Arabidopsis thaliana: one gene and its partner. The protein of the gene in region 1 interacts with the protein of each later gene in a pairwise test. Each region holds a gene or a part of one and is shown on either strand. Other genes may lie near its edges.

Region 1 (3,758 bases):
CTTACAATCTTTCTCAACAAACTGTATAACGCAGTAAGAAAGCTGTTGATGGTAATTTGGTAAGCATTTCAGCTTGTGCAGAGGAATCAAGACACGAGTAAGAAAGAGCTTGTGTTCTTCCTTGAGTGGTAAAGCGAATCCATTGATGATGGATCCTAAAACTTCAAGAAACTCGGCGATTCCCGAGTGTTTCCCTGTCTCGAATATAAAATCATACAAGATGTTGTTCATAGTTTTCCTGATGAACGGGCGATGAACCATAAACCTCCCGTAGATGCGGTGAAGTATCGTTTTCAGATACTCTCTTTCCCTCGGATCTTCAGAATCAAACAAATCCAATAGCTTGAGAACGAATGTATGATCGATGTATTTCTTGGATATCTTGGGGTCTGTGTTGGGAGATGCAACGATTCTCAAAAGGAACTCATAAACAATCTGCAAGTGAGGCCAAGAAGGATTCAAAGATCCTTCTTCTTCTTCCAAATCCAATGCCTCAGGAGTTTTGTTCTTCCATTGTCGATGAGGATTACTAAAGAGATTCGCCGAAATCATCTTGGTAGCTTCTTGAATAACTGATTCAGGGAACTTGCCATTCCCTGAAGAGATAACATAATCCACAACTTCAAGAAGTGTTTGCCTTTTGATCTCTTTCTCCTTGAAGTTCTGTTGAGGCTCAGCTACAAAATCAAACACTAGACAACATAGTCTAAGCTTCTTAAGAAACAGTTCTTGCTTCTCAGAGATGGAAACATCTCTCAACCTTGGCAATACATCAAAAGAAGAAACACAATCCAAACTAGTATCTCCATTTGATGACGTTCTCTGGCTTAAAACTTCATCACCTCCTCCTTGATTGTTGTTGTTATCTAGAGTTTGGGATTCACCATTATCCCAAAACTTAGCAGAAGTTTTCTTAGGAAGCTTCCCAAGTATCTGCTTAAACATCTTCTTCGATCTATTTAGTCAAACTTCCTCAAACTCAGATCAGATTCTTCAAAAACAGATCTCAGAAACTAAAAACCCGAATTGAAGAAAGATAGTGAAACACTCCTAAGATCATCTCACCACGCATAAGAACAACTCTTGTGAACATAATAGATCTCGAGAGATTATGAATCATCCAGACAAAAGCAAAAGACGAAAAGCAGACAAAACCATGACCCAGAAGGTAAAATAAAAAAAAGGTAGTAACTTTATATCATGAATGAAGCGCGTGAATCGTTTCTGGACCCAGATAGCAAGATCTAGATTGATGAATCATAGAAAGAAGCAAACTTGGGTCAAACCCAAGTAATCTAAACAATCGAAGAAGAAGAAGAAGAAGAAGAAGAAGGAAAGGGTTTAGCTTTTCATAGCTATTGCTTCGTTGGCATAGAGAAGAAGAGAGAGAATGGATAAAGATTAGAGAGTAAAGAGAGAGAGAGATAGAAAGAGAGGATGGTGACTGAGAGAAGACCCTAAGACCAGAGAAAATTTTCACTGACCAAGACAAGAAACAACATCTCTCGACAGTGTTTTTTTAGTTGAAGTCATAACCATTAAAAGATTCAAATCCAACCACTAAACCGATCTCTCCATGAAGATCTTTTCAGAGTTCCTCCTAGACTTATGGAGTTCGTAACCAAATCCACAAACCCAAAATACTCAAACCAACAATTTGGTCTTCTCTCTTTGAGTTTCTGTTGAAAACTTAAAAAAACTTTTTTTAAAAGGTGTTTTTTTGCTTATAAAGATACGATTTTTTTTCTGATACAACTGAAAATACAAAAGGCCAAATCCTATAAGTGCAATATTTGCAGGTATCATGAAAGCAGAAGATGAATGAATAAGACAAGTCTCAAGAAAGTGGAACAAGTGATGATCATACAATGTAGCAAAAATAACCCATTTTAACAAGCAGGAAGATTTAAGAGGAAACAAGAAATAAAAATAATGGAAATCAAAACAGGAACAATCTTACATCTTTGAGTTTCCTTTTTCCTTCAAACCAAGAGACCAATATGAAACTTTTCTCTTCTCAAGTATGTATCTGAAGAACAACATGTCAATAGAAGATACAGAAGCTCTCTTTCTCTCTCTTTCTTCTCTACAACTCTAACTTTATGAAGCCTTTCGCACTCCGAGTTCTTCCAAACGTTTCCAAGTGGCTTCACGTTTTGCTTCGGTTTCAGCTGCTTTTGATTCATCTTCCTTGAACTTTGCGAGGCATTCTTTAAATAACTCAGGGTCAAGGTCATGAAATATCTTTCGCACGTTTAGTGTCAAGCTATGAACAGCTTGGTTCCAATGTTTCTGTGCGTTTCTCTCCAACGCTGGGAATATAATTGGAAGAATGACTTTACGGTTTTGCATTATCAGATTCTCAATGTGATTGTTGTTCCATAAGAATAAAGCTCTCTCTGCAACCTGCGAAAACCAGACAGAGCATGAATAGACTGAAACAAAGATCCTGAACCTACTAGACTGATCTTTTCCCGTGAAAGATCGTATGCAGTCACTGTTTAGCCAAAACAGATACCCTTCAACGCAATACTTTTTCTTCTTTTGTAACTTTCTACTTAACAATAGCCTTACTATATCAATTTAGCTTAGAAATTGCCTTGAGTAACACCTAGAGCTGAATATAACAGTCCTAAACATTGATACTTTCCATACCGCAAAATCAACTCTTCCATTTGCTCGTTTGATATAACTGGTAGGCTATAACGACTTCTCATAAGCTGGTAAGGTAACACAGATATACTGGCGAAACACTAACACAATTAAAGTATGTAACCATAAGCCTTATTTAGCTAAGAAACTGCATCAGATATTATCCAGAACACAATACAACAGTCCTATACGTAGATACTTTCATTACCACAAACCCAACTCTTTCATTTGATCTTTTTATATAACAATCTAATAGGCTAACATAAACAGGTGAAACACTAATGCAGTTAAAGTATGTCGAAACGATATGGCCTGCAAATGTCAAACCCAACACTAACAGCAACAGAGCATTTTTCAGGAAATGTCAAAGCACGGGGAAATTCGCCAGTTTAAAAACAAATGTGAGGTGCTATTATTTCAGAAAGAATGGAGAATGACAGGTACCTGAAAATGCAGACTGTTCAAACATCGAGCTATTTGGCGAAACAGTGGTACCATGCACCGTTGAAATTCTGGTGGCTGAGTTGCTTCGAGTACTTCCTCCAACTCGTTCAGAAACATGACTTCTTTGGAACTGTTTGTCACGGGCCAATATTTCAACAATCCTCTTATAACCGTATCAGCAAGTTTGCAATCCTTTTCCACAAACTGTGTGATACAATAAGACAATTGTTGATGATACATTTGCAAGCATTTTGGTTTGTGGAGAGGTATCAAAACTCGAACAAGAAACACTTTGTGCTCGTCTTTCAAGGGAAGAGCGAATCCATTGATGATACTTCCCAAGATTTCTAGAAACTCAGCAATCCCATTATGTTTCTCTGTTTCGAAAACAAACCTATAGAAGATGTTGTTAATGGATTTCCTGATGAAAGGTCGGTGTACCATAAATTTACCATAGATCCGATGGAGAATGGTTTTCAGACAATCTCTTTCTCTAGGATCCTCGGAATCAAATAAATCCAGTAACCGCAAGACAAAAGATTGATCTATATATCTCTTAGCCAGCTTGGTGTCAGTTTCAGGCGAAGCAACAAACCTCAAGAAAAGCTCATACACAAGCTGCAAGTGAGGCCACGCAAGATCCATGGAAGGTTCTTCCTCCT
Region 2 (3,682 bases), on another chromosome or scaffold:
AAAGGGAAAGTCGTGGAGGTTGAGGATATTCAGAGAGTTTACAGACTGTTCTTGGATGTGAGGAGATCGATGCAGTATCTTGTTGAGTATCAGAGTCAGTATATGTTCAGTGAACCAATCAAAAACGATGAAGCTGCTGCAGAAGACGAACAAGATGCTATGCAGATCTGAGGATCCACCTCTGTTTGCCTTATTTATCATGTTTCGTGGTGATATGTATGATTAGGATGTTGAACTCGGATTTATGTTTTTTTTTTTTTAAGTTGTGACGAGATTCGGTTCTAGAAAATGATTTAACCAAGTTCAATACAGATCGGTTTGGTACAAATTTGATTTTGTTTGGATTTGGTCAACTTATTTCGGTTCGGTTAGACTAGACTGTAGGAGATGGTTTTACTAAATTAGTCTGGCCCGTTAAGACTTTATATGGGCTTTAAGCCCAATATTGACGAGTATAGTGAATCTCTCTCTTATCATTAAATACATGTAAGCGTGTGTTGTTCGCAAAATTTGACACGCATGCAAGTCTCTACCATCAGAGTAAATTAATTACGAGTGTTCTCTTACCAGACTTCATCGGTTTTTGGTGGCGTGTTTTGGTGTAACGAATTTATTTTGCTTGGTCGGGTCAATTTCAACTTATTTAGTGAAATATTATCTAAATTTATGAATAAACGTGTGTCCTTGAATTTCTTGAATAAAGATTTCAAAACAAACGGCTTTGTAGAACAAGAGTTAATGATAGAAGGCCAAACAAATTGTTCCAAACTCATGGATTGAATTAATCTAATTTACACATCGCTTGCAAGTAATTAGAAAAAACAAACATCACACGCTGGTGAATCCAACCAAAAATATGCATTATAAAAAGTCGAACAAATCTATTGACAGTAAAGAGTCGCAGTGTCTTTAGGTACTCTGCCATTGTGACATCTGATTCAACTCGTCATGGGTCCCATACTACATTTTATCATTCTCACTGTTACCGTAACTCTGAATCAACAGCTTCCTTTGGAACAGCCTTTATTTGTAATAGTACTTTTTATTCTTCGAAACAATCGGATTGTGATATGATGCGGATTGTGATATGATGAAAAAAACAAAAAAACAATCGGATTGTGATAAGAAATATGTGAATGAATATTCAAATAAATCAAATCCATAAAGATTTTGTTATCAACTACACTTTAGTTCAAATAACATGTAAAATTGGACATAGTTTTACGTGTTGCTCGGATATCATTTCAGAGATTCGTATCACACATTGAAGCCATAAAAACAGCAATCAATCCATACATAAAACAAATTACATAAAGTTAAAAAAAAAAAAAAAAAAAAAAAACTTTGATCATATTGAAAATATTTCTTAATTATTTATTATTTCCCCTTTAATTAGTTATCAAATCATCAATATATTACTTTCTAAATGAAAATTGTTGAATAGTATTAGTAAAAGATGGTTATTGATTAAATTTTACAGTCTAGTTTGGTTTTTAATTAGATACCATAACCTCTAGTCAACTTAATAATTCAAGAGAATGAAACATGTTGTTAATTAATTCATTGGTTGCGATATGCAAGATCCTTAATAACATTTATTAATTTCATATAAAATTCAAATGTCATTATCATTATACATCAGAAATAAAATAAATAGATCTACCACTCCCAACCTCTTTATTTATTCGTCTCATTGCTTAATCTCTTGTGTCGACATCTTAATTTACAAATTCTATCTTTCTGTTATTTTCTTCTTCTTCTTCCTCTTTTTATTTTCTAAATTTATTTGTTTGTGTTTAATCCTTTTTATCGATCTCAAGCGACCTCTTTGTCAAACCTGACAATCCCAAATGATGAAGAATTCTGACGTCGCTATTTATTAAAACCAAAACAATCTCTTCTTATATACTTTAGTTTCAGACAGGAACCCAACAAAAAAATCAAAACTCTTTTCTCTTTTCTTTTTTTTTGCAAAAAAAATAAAAATGGGGAATTGTCAAGCGGCCGAAGCAGCGACGGTTTTGATTCATCACCCGGCGGAGAACAAGGTGGAGAGGATTTACTGGTCAGTGACAGCGAGTGACATCATGAAATCCAATCCTGGTCATTACGTTGCGGTGGTGGTGACGTCACCTACGATGAAGAACGAGAAAGGTTTGCCACTGAAGCAGCTTAAACTCCTTCGTCCTGACGACACTTTACTCATCGGACATGTCTATCGTCTCGTCAGCTTCGAAGGTATATATATATACACTCTTAACTCCATTTCTCTGTTTCTGATAAATAAAATGATCTATAAAGCTGTTGACAATTTTATATCATGCAGAGGTTTTGAACGAGTTTGCGACGAAGAAATGTGTGAAGCTTGGCAAGTTATTGAAAGAAGGAGGAGGGCTTGACTTGACGAAGAAGAAGACGAAACACAGGAAGAAGAAGCTGGATCAGGAAACGGGCAAAGTCAACCCGAATTCGGATCCGAATCCGAACCAAGATGGCGCTGATAATGCGGTAAGTGCATGTTAATACTCTCATCGTCCAATTTTTTCTTTTTAACATTTAAAATGGATCCTTAATTTTAGTTCTAGTTGTGACATGATGAATAAGATATTTATAGATGACTGTCCTGGTCACATTACTCTGATCGCTTTATCCTTTTATCATTTATGTACGAATGCTTAATTTAATTCGACCGATCTTATAGGTCGCCGGAGAAAACGGGGGAGATGGGTTTATGAGGAGGAGCCACGGTGGAGGAAGAGGTGGTGGTGGGTGGAGGCCAGCTTTACACAGCATTCCGGAATTTGGATCCTCATGAGAGCTCTTGATCAAAAGCGTAGATATTCTTAAAGCAACTATCATCCGACAACATTGAAAGTTTTATGTAAAGCGATGTTACTGTTTTCTGTGGCTTTAATGAGATTTCAGTCTTCGACAAATGTTTTCAAGAACTCTAATCGTTTTTAACCTATTAGATACAAATATAAGGCACATCCACAATACGAATTTCTTCGAATTTTCGCATCCAAATGCAAAACGAAATAGTTGGTTGAAGTATAATTTTCAGGTATGCATAATTTATTTATCAACCGATAATTGAATTAGGCTCATCTTTAATGGAAATTTAAAGTGGAAAAAAGAAAGAAAAAGAATTAGGCCCATTCAAACTTCATGTTTTGTGACATGATTACTTCCAACTAATTGTATATTTGTTTCAATCCAACACTGTTTTTTCCTGCTTAAATGTTGTCTCATGTATGTACCGGACCTACTGATTGTATAACCGGATTTTTTTTGTTTGCAGATTCAAGATTCCACAAATCATTTCTTTCCTTAAACAATGTATGTAATAATGAAAAGTGTAAACCGACAGTTCGTATACGTTTGGATATCGTTGTTTGTGTTGGACCTAATTGGATTTTTACGTCATACCGTATTATCCAATCATAACGTTTCATGTGAGGATGTTAGAATTAAACAACCAGTCAAGAGTCAACTAACTTGAGCGAGTTTTAAGGCAATGGTAATAACTGGATAAACTATAGTTTTACATTTTAATTTGTAAGAAATGTAAATGTAGTATGCTTTTAAAATATGGTTGGCAGATCATTTGGTCGGCCTTTTTTGTCAATCATAGTTACGCAGTCAATAATTCAATTAATCACTAATGCATCATTCCATTTTG

Evidence for each region. The genes of interacting proteins can lie anywhere in the genome.
Region 2: the proteins of ATB' DELTA (region 1) and AT5G67620 interact in a two-hybrid assay, tested with the Arabidopsis thaliana proteins (one large-scale study listed by BioGRID).

Annotation. Positions count from the first base shown.
Region 1 is NC_003074.8:9,514,928-9,518,685, reverse strand, and holds the start of ATB' DELTA (serine/threonine protein phosphatase 2A 55 kDa regulatory subunit B prime delta), read right to left. Parts: upstream 1,734-3,758; 5' UTR 946-1,733; coding exon 1-945. Other genes in the region: AT3G26020 (Protein phosphatase 2A regulatory B subunit family protein), read right to left, coding at 2,101-2,406, 2,610-2,720, 2,932-2,964, 3,097-3,300, 3,388-3,758. UniProt on the Arabidopsis thaliana protein: The B regulatory subunit may modulate substrate selectivity and catalytic activity, and may also direct the localization of the catalytic enzyme to a particular subcellular compartment.
Region 2 is NC_003076.8:26,964,024-26,967,705, reverse strand, and holds AT5G67620 (DUF4228 domain protein), read left to right. Parts: upstream 1-1,695; 5' UTR 1,696-1,985; coding exon 1,986-2,238; intron 2,239-2,326; coding exon 2,327-2,508; intron 2,509-2,701; coding exon 2,702-2,815; 3' UTR 2,816-3,155; downstream 3,156-3,682. Other genes in the region: AT5G67630 (P-loop containing nucleoside triphosphate hydrolases superfamily protein), read left to right, coding at 1-171.